Lepisosteus oculatus: one gene and its partner. The protein of the gene in region 2 interacts with the protein of the main gene of each other region in a biochemical or structural test. Links are inferred from orthologs where the notes say so. Each region holds a gene or a part of one and is shown on either strand. Other genes may lie near its edges.

Region 1 (7,583 bases), on a different chromosome or scaffold from region 2:
TTCACTTTTAAAGCACTACTTAAGCACTCGGATAGTGGTGGAACAGCTGACAGGTTCAAACAAGGGTGCATTTAAGCACACAGTCCACTTCACCAAGGAGGCGTGGGAGTGGGAGAAGATGAGAGCTGAGAAGAAAGAGGAAGAGACAGGGATGCAGGGGCAATTGCAGGTGAAGTCATTGATAAACCACAGAATATTGAAAACAAAATGTCAGGCTGACGAAGACATTATGAAACACACCTCTAGTATAATCCTTTACTGATCCTTCACGGTGACGAGCTGAAAGGCAAAAAGACCAAGCCATCGCAACACCTGATTTTAAAATGCAGTCTAAGCCATCAAGCTCTGTAGCTCAGTCAAGTAGCACTTAAACGGGCATCACAAAAGAACAGCACATCTTTGAGAGTGTGCAGTGCTGAAGAGATGTTGAGTGGAATGCCCACACCAGAGCAAAGACCTCTGCATTTAGACCTCATCAATACAAGCAGCTTCCTGTGTAAGACAGCTTCGACAAAATAATGATCACATACTGATCAGCGAGTACTGGCCGCCCACCAGGCGGAGAGGAACCTTTATCAAGCCCTGCAGACTTCAACGAGCCCACTTTCTCCAAGCGTCTTCCATGCCTGATGCAGAGCGAGAGTGGAAAAGTGGAAATCTGGGAAAACTCAGACCATGCTTTATGCTAAAAGAGTGGGATCTGCGCAGACTCTAAGCCCAAGTCATTTCTTGAACGGCAAGTGGAAGTATCCCACCCCAACACACACACCCACTCACTATCACCCGTGTCAATGGACGACTCGTTGCTCAAGCACGGCAACGCTCACGAGTGGAGACTGGCCACCCTGCAGCACGGAGATCGGGTGCAAAGGACCCCCCCCCAGCTTTTCCAAACCTCCGCTACAGTTCCATTCTCTGGTAAAAGAAAAATTCTCGACCTTCAGCTACGTGCTTCAGGCTGCCAGAGAGGAAATTCCCAAGCCTGTCATGAAGCCTACTCGCGTGTACATCCACCCGAGCCGGCGAGCAGGTACCTGTGCTGATCACAGCGAGCTTAGGTGTAAGGCAGAGTTCCCCTTCCCAGCCACTTCAAAGGGCCGAACCTAGCACCTCATTTATCGAGCTACCACAACACATGCTCAGGCCGTGGAAACGAGCGCGTCTTTAAAGCTGAAGAACTGCGATCGATTTGCTCGTCTCAGCCTCCTCCAAAAATCAGAGCTGACCCAAAGCACCGTGAAACTACGCACACGGTTCAAAGGCGTCACCTCACCTCTGCAAAACATAAATCCGGTTTCTTACAGTTTGCAAGTACTAAAGAACGGGTATGGATCTCTAACCAACCAAAACACAGAAGACAAAGCCTTACCTAAACTATTTGGTTGCATAACCAAAAATAAACGTAGACGTTAAGTGACCGTCCTTTTATTTTTAGGGTTTTAGCAGGGGTGTCGAAATAATCAACAACCAGCCCTTTTGAACTCCTGGTGGATGAAGGAAAGTGAGTTTTTCTTAAGCATTAGTCATGATCTCACCTCCGTTCTGCGCGTAAAAATGAAAGCCAGAATTCCAAAACGTTTCTGAAGGTGTTACTTTGTAACTTTGATTACTAAAAAAAAATATATAGCCTTTTAATGTCATCGGAACCGTTCACCACAGCAAGCGAGAACGAAGCTCGATTTAGCCCAGCGAGGAAGTCGATCTGACACCGACTGTTCTCTTTCGCTGCAAAAGCATTGCGTAATGCTAACAGATGAATCACAAGTGAACAGAAAACTCTCCGACCTGTCGGACTGTTCTTTGAGCTCGCCTCTTCTCTACCAGGAAATGTGTTTAATATTTATCCACACACACACACAAGTGTTCGTGCAAAGAAAATCGTCAATGAAGCTAAACCCACTTCTGCAGACTTCCTCACGAAAAACACGGTTTTACGCGGACAACTTGAAAGATGAACTGAAACTTACCCTTTATCATTTCAAAAAAACATATATCTCATCATATTTCTTTTTTTCCCCCCAATCAGGGTGCCGGAACCCCATTCAGTTCCGGAATCTCTTCAACGCAGTTCTAGTATATGGTAATATAAAAACTCCCCGGGTCTTGGCACCGACTTGGCTGAATGCCGGTTACAGTACACACCATGACATGTGGAATGACTTCTCATTTATCGAGCCTTAAGGGGTTTTAAATTTCAAATGAGGGGGATCTTTACGGAGTAATTTTGAAAGTGGGCATTCACCCAGAACAGGCATTTCCATTGATGAGACTACAGACAGCTCATACCAGAACAAGCTCGCCAGGTGTGGGGGTTCACTCGTACGCGCAGGTAAGCGCTCAGAAACACGCCACTGTCGCCTTGCTGGGCTCACCTCCCTTGAAATTATCGCACTGCAGCCAGACACGGGGAAAATCAATAAAATCTCAATCGAGAGAGGGGGTGGGGACAAACACAAAAAAACGTGCTTTTTCAAATCAACGACGTTGGCCATTTCTTTCGCTTTCGCTCAGGTTTGGAAACGCGCATCCCCGGGTCTCTCGCCGAGCGGTCCGCTTTTTGCGCTTCTGTGTTTCTGACTCGTCTGGTGTGAGTCATGCAAAAGCGTGTGGCTTTTAAATCTTTACACATCCCTCATCTTCAATGCAGAAAACCCGTCATACGCGAAGCAGACCTTAATCCGAGATTACGGGTTTGTTGTTATAAACAAGGGTTTTTTTTTTAAAAAAAACTGGCCAAATCGTAACAATTACACAAGAGCCCCTTACCTGATTTCTCACTGGAGGTCCTCTTGAAAAATCAAGGTCCCGTAACTGTTTCCTCACAGAAATGCTAAAAGCGAGAATTAATCTTTTTATAAAGGACAGAATCAGTCTGAAGTGCTAACAGTTTGCCTTATTCCCTAACTTCGCTTTTCAGTTTTTCCTCTAACTTTCCCAAACTCGATGGCTGCTGAAAAATCGCTGTTGTTAAGTATTTCCTCTGCCAGCATTGGAGACAACCTAACCCCAGTAGCAGGAAACAGCTCCTTGGTCCAATAACCGTGGAGAATCCTTTCCTGTTACTTAATTATTCATAAAGGTGTAAATATCTCATCCAATCAGCACCTCCAAAAACCCAAAAGGGGGCGGGGACAGAAAGCCTAAGGTTAGACTGTGCGCGACATCGCAGTGTTTATAATTCACGCCCTCACCGCCGTTCTAGAATAAAATCTTACCTCCCTCTTGTGCTTCCGTCGAACTTCAAAAGAATCCCTTCTTTAAAAAGGCTGCAGCGGAGGGAAGGTGTAACAGTGCCTGGAACAGCGCGGCTGGAAATCATCTGAGTTACTGGCAGTGATTACGTCACATGCAGTTTAATAAGACAAATGAAAACTGGATTTTTAAGAGCATTGAGTGAGCTATTGCTAATGAAAGGAACTAAATAGCTAGAAAGCTATTAAATGAATCATCAAACATATATTTAGAAGGCAATGACAATTTACCTATCAGTCTTCTTTATTTCCTTTTCCTGTATTTCCCGTTGGTATGCTTTTTAATAAATGTCTCTAGTAAGAACTCCATATTCTATTCTAAACTCCACATTCTACGCATAATAGACGCCCTTTGATAATCAGATAGTCCGAAGTTTTTACTTTTCTGAACAGGCACAAACCAGAAGTGACACAGTGAAGGGTTATTTGAAGGAAGTTGAAGTTGAAGGAAGAGGAGGTGGGGGGGTGTCATTTTCCAGATGGATGTCTGCACTGCATGTACATTTGTACTGTTGGGGGGTATCCAGTCTTTTTGGTAGGGAGATGTCCTGCCTTCAGTTTTTCTGATTTTTCTCCTTAAGTTAACAGCAAAGTTTATCCGGAAAGCTGTGGGGTATTGTTAAAACAGTCCAGTTCACACAATAACAAGCTATTTCTGCTGCTCCCAGACTTATGTCATTTTAAGCAGCTGAAACTGTTGAAAAATGTCAGAGCAAGTGGTTTTCTATAAAAGCAGAAAGGCCATATAGAAGGGTTTGTAAGGTCCCTGGCAGTGTCCCCGCTGGGGTTCCCCTTGCTGTGTCAATCAAAGACCCCACAGGTTCCTTGGCGCTCTTGTGTGGTGGGAGGAATGAGTGGATGGGCAGAGGGGCGGAGCGGTGGCTCTGTGGCTCAGGATCTGTGCCTGTGACTGGAAGGTTGCCGGTTCGAATCCTGCAGCCGGCAGAGGAATCCTACTCCGTTGGGCCCCTGAGCAAGCCCCTTCACCCCAACTGCTCCAGGGGTGCTGTATAAATGTCTGACCCTGCGCTCTGACCCCCAGCTTCTCTCCCTGTCTGTGTGTCTCACGGAGAGCAAGTTGGGGTATGTGAAAAGACAAGTTCCTAATGCAAGAAAATTGTATAGGGCTAATAAAGCGATATTATTATTATTATTATTATTATTATTATTATTATTATTATTATTACAGTCAGTTGGCGTGCGGCCATCCTGTAAGGCAGTGTTGCTCACCCCTGGTCTGGTCTGGTCTGAGTTCCCATGACTTCATTCCAGATGGGAACCCAGTCTGCTGCCAACGGACGAAGTCATTGCCTTTCTACTCAATACATGTCCCTTCTATGTTGGGCTCTGGCATTGTGGGGGAGTTTTCCCTGGAGGATGGGGCATCACACTTCCTCCTCATGAAATGAGCAATTCAGCCAGGCAAACTATAGCACCTGCTGAAAACCCATGTGATCGTTGGAAAACATGCCAACTAAACACAGAAGGCATCCACGCCTATAGTCAAACCCAGGAATGTAGGATTACGAATGCCATGGGACCGGTAGATATATCACAACTGCAACCTACTGACGCCTGGCCAGTACCTGGATGGGAGACTTCCTGGGAAAGCTGAGGTTACTGCTGGAAGAGGTGTTAATGGGCCCAGTAGGGGGCACTCACCCTGCCATCTGTGTGGATCCTAATGCCCCAGTATAGTGATGGGGACACACAAAACTGGGGTCCTGACTCTCTGTCCTCATTAAAAATCCCGGGGTTTATCAATCATGGCCTCCTAATAATCCCGATCTAGGAATTGGCTTCATCACTCTGCTCTCCTCCCCAGTGAGAGCTGGTGTGTGGGGAGTGTACATGCTCACTCTGGCTGCTGTCACATCATCCAGGTAGGGCTGCACACTGGTGGTGGTGGAGGGGATCCCCATTACCTGTCCACAAAAGGGCTATATAAGCGTAACAATTATTCTTAAATATTCTGTTGGTTTGCACATACGAGCTGCTGTCTCCCAGCTGGCACTCCAAACTGACATGCCAAGTGAGATATGACATGTACTGTACACATAGATACTGTAGAAATACCTTGCGTGTGGACTTACATCACAGACGTCCAGTTCTGACAGTGCGGGTGCTTTGATTTCCCAAACATTGCTTGTTCAAGATTTGTTTTATTTAGCCCCAGTCAACCAAAACAGAAAAAAACAAAAGCAAAGGGATTTAAGTTACAGTTTTCATCTGAAAGAATTCAGCCTTGACACACGGTGCATTTCCTCTAAGGAAGGAGTAGCTTAAATGAAACAATGGCGGTTATGGTGGGCAACCTGTGAAACAAACTCCCACAGTGTCTATCAAAGTTTCCATTCGCACCATCAGAGGTGCCACGCTATTTAATATCAAATTTATTCATGAACCATATATATTTCTCTCACTTTAGATATAAAAAACGAGTGCTTTGCTAACCAAAGGCTATAGCCAGTTTGAAGGCAAAAATAGGTTTTTGTGAACCAGCTTTAAACCAGGCTGACCAAACAGTAAGTGCTGGTAGGATCTGTGTTATATAATCTCAGGAAACAGACGGATTAAAACAGATGAATTCCCAGAATAAAATTAATACTTTCTCTTTCAAATGATCTGACTTTGTTTTACTGTTTATGAAAGCATTTACAGTAGGACACAGTGTGAAATCTGCTTCACCCCTTTCTACTTTTTCATTCTGTCTGGTTTCAACAAGCAGGAGAAGAAGAAGTGTAAAATATTGCCAGTTTGTCTCAGGTGAAACGAAGTCTGAGGTCTGGTTTTTGTGCCCAGCTGCGGGTGAGTGATTTCGTGTCTTCTGTTACCATAGTGATGAGCAGCTGCTTCTCTCCGGACTTAGAAGCTAACCAACAAGCGCTACAAGAATCAGCAGGTTTCCTATTCAGACTTGGCAACAGCATCGCAATACAAATGGCATTCCAGTAAAGCTAATCAAAAGATCGGCTGTCAGATTGTGTCCTGTTTAAAAGCAGTTACCTCCCTTTGGCATTGTGTTCTCACTTCCTTACTGCAAACAGGCCTCTGTTAAGGATCGGCCTTTTAAACGGATGTATTGTTTATGACTTTCAAATGGTGATGCATGTGACTAACTAGACTATGACGTGACACTCTGTGCACAGGTACACTTAAAATTCAAAGCCGTTCCATATGTGACGTTCTGTGTTGTAACTCACTTTGACGCCTAACTACAGCTTAGACTGCAATGACGAAGATAACTTTAGACTCTTTCAAACAATTCAAGGTTGAACTCCTTCGCAGACCTCAGAAGATGAGTCAACAAAAACTCAATTCAATCAAGGGTCTGTAGCATTAATCAAAACTGAGAATATGTGCTACATCTACATCTACAGTGCAGTTTAAGCCCCTGTTACAGTGGTAGCTGTTTAAACATTTGGGGTGACTGGTGAGGCTGGGAAAGACTTGTCTGGAAAAGGACAGTAGTGTCTTCATTAAGAACTGGAGCCCATTATATTCTGGGCCCCAGGCCCTAGTCACTGTGTCAGTTTCAGGCAGTCCTCAAGAGCAGCTCTACATACTTACAGTTTCCCATTCTACAGACATACAGATGTACAGCTCTGAGGCTGGAGTTACCACACCAGACACAAAGACAGTGAGACTCTTAGGATGTCAATCAGGGTGTTTTTTATTGAGTTGTTAGTGGTTAGGCGATTTGCAGTGATACAGTGCAGAAAGCAAGCTGTATTATCTGGATACATAAGATAGCGGTAAAATAAAATCTAATCTATGTGGTCAATGTAAACATAATTGTGTTTTTTTACTTTTGTCACAAAGAAGGGATACATTTCTTTCCTTTCTGAATCTGATCACCAGGATACAGTCATGTTTGCTGATATAAAAATATTCCTGCTGTCTCACAACCAACAGCATTCATAAAGTCATAAAGCAATTAGCAACCTCCATTAAAATAAGCAAAGCAGCCATTTTTTGATCGTGCCAAAGTGCCTTTTTTCAGAGGAGGCTGGAGTTGTACAAGTACATCTAGGTATCAGGTTCTAAAGAGTCCTTTTCATCTGCTCTGTGACAGGCAGAGGTGGATACAGTAGTCAGATGTTCTATTGTGCTTTTCAACCAAATTGCAGGTGCCGGCAATAACAAAGTAATAGAAGGAGCCAGTCTTGTTTTGCAATACTTTATGCTATCATGGACTATAACCACTGAAAGAGTAATTCAATCTCAAAAGCCCCTTCTCTTCCTATAGAGACTAGGCAGTGGTCAGAGCTGAACTTCAACCTCTCTGTAACAGCTACTATCTTGTTGCTGAGGTGCTTGGGGACTCTCAGG
Region 2 (7,697 bases):
CAACTTGAAGTTAAAACAAAACCAGAAAGTATTAGGCAGACGGACACAGAGTTATACATCATGCTATGTTATGAATTCCACAAATACTATTTGGCATACATGTCATTTGGCAGCTATGGCAAGAAACTGCAGTTATCTACAATATAGTGGCAAGCAATGATTTATACAGTTTAAAAACGTCTTCAATATGCAGGCCCTTTTATAGCTTCAGTGCCATGATCATGTGACAATGTTTAACCAATGAAAGGCCTTTATCATTCTGTATGATTAATAGGGTGTACCTGTACTTTATTACCAACCACAATGCAACTCAAGATTTAATGAATGCCATGGCCTCCAGTCATGTATCACAGTAATGAAGGTAAAAACCTGAATGAAAACAGGCCAGATGCAATATTAATAACCCAAACAAGGGAAACTGAGAAACTTTATAATAAGATAAAAGGCAAATGCAGAGGGTTGTACAGTATGTGCTCCAGTGTTTACATAACGTGATGCTCTAATTAGTCTTTTGTGACAAATACAGTAGGTAGAAAAAGCTTCTGGTGGGCATCATCACATAGCAGATGCTGTTACTTTATCAGGAGCTCAAATCTACTTCCAGTCCAGTCATCTTGCATGAATGGAAAAATACTAAAATGTAAAGGATTATTAGACTTTTAATGGAATTTTATACTAGATGGTTACTTTACAATATTTTCCAACTGGATACATATCCTGCTACACAACACACCTGACACTGTTGCAGGTTTTGCTTAGATCCGTATCAGCCCTGCGTGTGTACGTTTCCTACTAAAATGTTGTAACACCGCACTTGTGAAATTTTGTGAAGTTGCTTCAAAACAAATCTCAGGGTTGGCATTAATTATCCAATCCCCACACACAAATAAGCGCTTGCAACTAGTTTAGAGGGAAGCAAATTAATGTTGCACACTGCCTGTTAAGTTCCTGCTTTAGAAATTGGTTTTGATGGAACTGCCAGAAAGCATAATAAAAACCCTAGAAAAGTATAACATTTCAAGGAGTATTTATTGGGTGTGAAATAAGTCAGAGACAGCATTAAAATTAATATACAGTATATGTATACTATTCTTCAGTACTCACTAGAAAGTCAATGCTTTTAGGAATTCCTGAAAAAAATATGTGTTTTATCACGGTACAGGAATTCTATAGCGGACTCAACGATCACGGAATATAGATCACAGTACTGTAGTCCTAGAGGTTTCCTACTTCTGCTGTGACTGGAGACTTTGAAATGACTTCTGAGACAGTTTGCTGCTACGGCCACATTCTCTCGAAATAATTTCAAACAATGATCTCGGGTGTCTACAGTACGTCTCACTCCACTCAGTGTCCCGACAGAAATCCAGACTGCAGTATTTCTCAACACACGTGATGAGCAAGGATAAATGTCAAAACCTGTGTATTGTCTTGCAAAAAAGAAAACTACAGCTGGTGTGTCATGAATTCTAAAAACACAACCCTTAACTATGCTAAGGGCAAAAAGAATGAAAAATTACTCGTTCGAACTACACATTTTGACAACTGTCCTGATGTGTTTATGACGAATTTGATGTTTTTCATTGGAGCAAACGCTGGCCAAACATCATGGAAACAAATTCAAGTCATGCCGTCTTACATTTCTTTTAAAGAGATCATTCTGACCCAGCTCACTTTTGTGTTATCTAAGGTGTTAAGAACAAAGGGATTGTTGCAATTCTTTCCCTTAAACATAGTTACCGACATTTGCATTACGTTTATGCTAACTTAATGGACAAGACAGATTCCAACAAGGTGAGTCATACCCGTATGTATCTTGCTTTAAAAAGAAATGTTATGGGTGTGAAAAACCATAAAAGGACGCAGTAATTTAACTGTTCGTCTCTTAAGTCAACTTTAATTTTAAAATAACAAGCACCTAAAAACAAACAAAAAACTATCGTTTAGGTCGCACGCAAACTGGACAAATAACAGAAAACAGCAAAGGTAATTTAGCCATTTGCGTTGTAGTCATCATTTTATTTACAGGCTTGATCGATGTCGTTTACTTTAGGCTAGAAAAGCCTAAGAAACTACAGAAATATACATTATAGGCTTAACTGACACATACTAACCGGTCCTTCAGCGGATGCCTCTCTGTTAAGAGAATCATAAACCGTAGGGAATTGTTATCTGCTTCAGACATTGACAGCAATATAATAAGAATTTTTAAAAACGACTTGGGAAAATGAGAATCAATGAGAAACCCACTGAGACGTGGTCGGCTAGTCCCAGATTAACATTTGGTTTACAAGATGATTTCTCACGCTGAAGAGAAAACTATACACTGTATCTCTTTCTGCCTTTTTCAGTAATGCAGGGCTACCACAGACTGTCATTGATCCTGTTCTAAATGCCAAGTATCCGGATCGGTTTAGGCAAGACAGAAGAGAATAAGTTACTCACCTATTCGGGTTCTTTATATCCTTTTGGTAGCCTTGGTCTCAAATGCGACGTGTTCCTTTTGAATGAAGTCCGAGGTGTTACTGTTACTCCGTCATCCAAAGAAACACACACACACACAAAAAGACAACCGATACGGCACGCAGGGCTAAGAGCAGAAACGAAATGCTAGGAGTGATCTGAAATCCCATTCAAGAGATCGGAGGGCTGCAGCGAGGTCATTGCGGGGATTGCCTGGGGAAAAAAAAAAACAGCACCGATTTTGAGTGCTGAATTCAACTTTTATAAAATCCAAGAGATTACAAAAGGCAAGGAGATATCCACCTCCCGAATGCCTTGCCTAATAAACACATGGATCTGGGGGAAAATGGGAAAAAAAAGAAAATAGTTTATTACGGGAGATCAATCTTTTGCGCAGCAGCGCAGTGCGCTGCCTAATCACATATGGTGAAAAACAGACCTTGGCTGAAGGAGGCAGACAGCGAGACCATTCGCAAGGCTGGGAGCGAAAGGGGAGGTAGGATCGGCCGAAGGGCGCTACGGAATCGGCGTAAAAGGCTCCCAGCTGGTGTGGCTGGGCGGCTATCCCACTGCTGCCTGCGTACGATCTTTTAAGAATCGGAAGAAGCCAATGGATTTTAGAAGGAGGGGGTTTGGGAATTTACATATAAAACAACCCCGCCTAGTGGACACCAAAGGGGAACGCTGCTTCCCAGAAAGGATGGCCTTGCTGGTGCCCATATATGAACACCTTGATGTGACACGTTATATATAGGCTGGGGGAACGCCTGTGCATGACACTATAGCGCTGCCAGAAAAAAAAAAAGACAGATTTTTCGAAGTTCGTGTTTCTGATGACACAGGATTGTGGGTGACTGGCTTTCAGGGGTTTGGACTGTACAGTTGTAGGCGAGAGACTGAACATAAAAATAAATCAGGAGCACTGACGGAACTTGGATGGATCGTGGCTAGTGGATTTTATACATTCCAAAGCAATCTGAGCCGCTGGCCCTGTAATTGACCATTTCTGGACAAACAGAGTACTGCGCACATAGCTTTGCCATACACACAGGCACAAAATGTATTTTTAGGAAGAATGAGACAGTAATTAATCAGCAGTAAGGTTCTGTTAAATACCAAAGTTCCTGCTGTGAATCTGTGGACTTCATACAACAACAATAAAAATCTGATTCTGATACACTCACCAAATGTCCAAAAAATGTTTCCAGAGTGAAGAGAATGCAAAGTTAAGCCAACTGAATGAATTTATGTGTTCATTTTTAGAACAGAGAGGAGGAAGCGTTCTGGGCCCAGGTTCAGTGTTACTGTGTAACAGTGCTTCAGTGTAAGTGAATGTCAAAATGAAATAGGAAGGAGAGGTGTGGCACTCCTGTAGGTTTTATCCCAAATCAGGAATGACAGAATGAGTCAGCAGAGTATGAACAAAAGATTACCTGATGTACAGCGGGCTGGGTCTCAGGATCAGCCTTCCATTAAGAAATATCTTGCCATTGAGAAATGTATAAGACTTAGATCATTCCTTAATAGATACCTTTATCCACAGTTACTTATGTACAATACATGTATGATTGTGGCCCAGTTGTTTAGGGCAGTAATGAAAATGACTGCTTTGGAACTGACCACTCAGTTGGAGGTATGATACCCAGCCACCTTGTCAATGGTGATACCATCACTCCTTTCAGGCAACTGGATAAGATACTTTGATACAGAAAAAAACACAAGAGTAACAGAATGGGCCACATGGCCTCCCCTTGTTTGTAACCCTTATTTCCTGATGACTCTGCTCATGGAGGTGACAGCAGCCATCCAGCCATCTTCTTATCCAGCACCGGGGCACGCTGGGAGCTGGAGCCAAATCCGGCAAGCAGTGGGCACGAGGCAGCATAATTCCTGGAAGGAACGTGCTAGTCGTTCTCAGGGCACACACACCAGGGCCAGGTTTTATAGAAGCCAATCAATCGGCTGGCATGTCTTTGGACGGTGAGAGGAAACCGGAACACCTGGAGGAAATCCATGTGAACCCAGGACCCCAGCACTGTGAGACAGCAATGCGAACCACTGGTCCACTCCTGACTGTGACCACTTTTGAAGATTGGAATGTAACACCATAAAAATGCTATTTGTTCAAAGGGCACAAAACTGAGCCAAAGTAAACACGCTTCAGTAACCTTTAACACCTGCCTATGCATTGATAATGCACAGACTGATTAACAGGACCATTTTATTACATAGATAATACAGTTCCTCTCTTCTGGCAGTAATATGTTTGATCTAAATTGTACCTAAACAAGCATCACTCTAAAGGTGAATACTTGTACTGTGCAAGTTTTATTCAGCCTTTCCATAAATTACAGAACTGTGCAGAGATTTATTATCATTTCTCATATGGGGGTTAGATTATGTTAGTAATAGTTCATTTGCATTATTCTAGTATAAAGACATTCTAGTCTAGATGAGTTCCATAACCAACAGACTCTATTAACACAGTAATAACATCATGTCCATTTAGACAAATGACAACGGAAGTATTTTAACAGAAAAGGCCTTTTCCATTCCAAAGGGGATGATGATGCAAATTCCAAAAGATCAGTGGCCCTGTAAATAAACCTTAGAGAAACTGACAATGTAAATTAGTTACGCATGTATACTCTATGTATACGAACACCTACAAGTTACCTGGTGTATCCACCTTTCTAAAATTTTGTAAGCAGAATCCGCACATGGTATATAACTGTGGACCTCATGTTAATGTTTAGCTTCCATATTTTAAGATTTCCAAGTTGAGACATGTAGTTTAAAAATACCAACTACTCCAGAATCCCCCTTCTGTTTGACAGGGTGTTTTTTTTTTTGAAGCTATGGATGTGAATGTCACGTTCACATAGGAAAGAATGTTCTTAAATCACTTGGAGCTACATATTGTCAAGAGTGACACTGGACTGTGAAAAAGCATGGCAATAAATTGTTTGTGCAGTGGCATTTGAGCAGTCTCAAACCAGGCTTCCTCCCCGCATGCAGACAGGACAGATTCTAAATCCATGTGAAATTACAATTACACAGACTCATGCTCTAGAAACCAGAAGTTGAACGCTGCTGCAAGATACCAACCCCCATCGGAACTGTGTGCCTTCGCTTTTTCAAACTGAGCTCCTCTCGGATACAGTTCCAGATCTGCAATGACATTAATTTTTGCTCACCCTTCCCGGCTACATTGTTTGGCTCTCAAAATAAAAGTGAAAAAACCTGCACGAGTCTAAAAGCACAAAACAAAGCTTTGCCAGACTTTAATAAGGAGAAACACAAAAATGGGTAGAAAAATTCTCAAGGCGGAATTTATTTCCTTAGTGTTCCATACATTTACAGGAAAACATCTCAGCTTGTACCGCACATCAGACACTAAGGAAGCGAGTTCAGTCTTGCCTCAGTTTCTTTAGCGCTTTTGTGCACAGACATGATGCCACAAGAAAAAAAAAGGAAATCAAAATGTGAAGAGATTCACTCTAGGAACAAGGCATGCAATGGCGGATGTTAATATTACATACATTTTTTTTAAAAAGGGAGTAAATGCCGGCACACAAAAAACATCAAGCCCCAGACAGAGCAAAAAGTGTTTTGCAATATGTAAAAAAACAATGCCGTGACACATTCTGAAGGAGAAATGTAACAAACAAGACTAAGTTGAGGAGAGCATAAACAAAGCCCACGTTAAACACAGTGATTTTCTTACAGCTGTGCACACAACAAGAATGGTAGTAAAATAAACTGTTCCAAACCTTTTCAAAGAGGTTTTACACCAGTGTTCAAGAGCTTAAAATGCATTGTCTGGAGATTTCACAGAGTTTAGGTCAAGTGTAGATAGTACTGTACCTAAACATTACTTGTAAATGATAATACAAGGACAAGTAGTGGCTCCAATGGGTATTTGTCAACCAAATGTAAAAATACCTATTAGAAAAACCGTACGTGCACTTTGCGTACTATTTTGAGTCGCAAGATTACTTGTGCTTGGACGCTGCATTCCTAAGTATGCAATATTCAGTTATCATTCTCATGCATCTCCTATATATGGACAGGTGTAGTGAAAATGCTGGTTGGGGCCACTATATTTAAAGCACCCAATTAAAAATATATTATGTGAAAGGCCTGCCCAAGCACAACGTACTAAACCCAGGGAAGCACACAAAAGCTTTCAGAAGGAAATGATTTTGCTTCAAGTCTCTTCCATGTCCAGAATGCTTGGGAATGGACTGTTCAAACAAAGGGTCCAAATATTTGGTTTGAAAAGACTACTGAAGCCAACAACGAAAAAACAATGCCCACGTACGTAGGCCACAGTTAGTGAGAGCATGTGGTATGTCAATACCAGGAAGTTTCAGCTGGTCAGAGTCAAGGCTGCTATGCAGTGGTAAACAGATGACGATTGGCTTTAGTAGCATGAGAAAGTCTGAAACAGGTCTGTAACAGGTTCACGTGATAAAAAGTGAAAACGGCGTGCACAGGCCAGCGAAAGGTTTCATTCTGAGCTCTGAAGGGCTGCCTTCTGCAGATTCTTGGAATTTCACAGAAGCACTCCACTTCACCCCTTTCCTTGTGTGCTTCAGCTCATTCTTTACCTCTGGAATTTCCATTCACACTGCAAGCCAAAGCCCTAAGTGAGGTGCTGCAGAGCACAGGCAAAACATGACACCTAGGACTCAGCTCCTCCCCCACAGAGACTGTGGGCTTTCTGGAGACCACCCCCTTCACAGCCGGAGGAAACAGAGGTGTCCAACTCCACCCTGCCCTTGGCCTCAATATTAACCCCCTGTGCATGAAAAGGATTTCACTTTTTATCTATTTGAGATCGCTCAGCCGCCCTGTCACAAATCTGTCTCCTTGGCCTGACACAGCCACTTCCGATGCTCCTCCTAACTGCGATCTCACACGCGGGCACAGCCCCTGCGCCAGGTCATCTCTTTTTCTTGCTCTCCTTCTTCAGCTTCTGTCGCAGCTGGGGGGCGGGTCCTTTGGGTTTCTTGCTCTGCTCCGCACTGCGCGCATCATGGGGCTCAGCGTCCTGCAGGGGCAAAAGCACAGGCATTGAAGGACAGACCACGGACATGAAGGGGTAGAAAAGCCATCTGTAACCCATACGAGCTTCTCTTAGAACCTCTGAAGGTCAACCTTCACTTTTTCAGGTTTTCAGTGCAGGTGGTAGACAGCTCAAAAGAACAATAAGATCTGCTAGCGTGTTT

Evidence for each region.
Region 1: the proteins of src (region 2) and stat3 form a complex in vitro, tested with the Homo sapiens proteins (3 studies listed by BioGRID). The link is inferred for Lepisosteus oculatus from reciprocal best matches to the Homo sapiens genes SRC and STAT3.

Annotation. Positions count from the first base shown.
Region 1 is NC_090723.1:4,841,438-4,849,020, reverse strand, and holds the start of stat3 (signal transducer and activator of transcription 3), read right to left. Parts: upstream 3,009-7,583; 5' UTR 2,767-3,008; intron 2,330-2,766; exon of another isoform or gene 2,141-2,329; intron 1,652-2,140; exon of another isoform or gene 1,536-1,651; intron 1-1,535. UniProt on the Homo sapiens protein: Signal transducer and transcription activator that mediates cellular responses to interleukins, KITLG/SCF, LEP and other growth factors. Once activated, recruits coactivators, such as NCOA1 or MED1, to the promoter region of the target gene.
Region 2 is NC_090711.1:12,030,401-12,038,097, reverse strand, and holds the start of src (proto-oncogene tyrosine-protein kinase Src), read right to left. Parts: upstream 3,001-7,697; 5' UTR 2,446-3,000; intron 1-2,445. Other genes in the region: protein MANBAL, read right to left, coding at 7,412-7,519. UniProt on the Homo sapiens protein: Non-receptor protein tyrosine kinase which is activated following engagement of many different classes of cellular receptors including immune response receptors, integrins and other adhesion receptors, receptor protein tyrosine kinases, G protein-coupled receptors as well as cytokine receptors.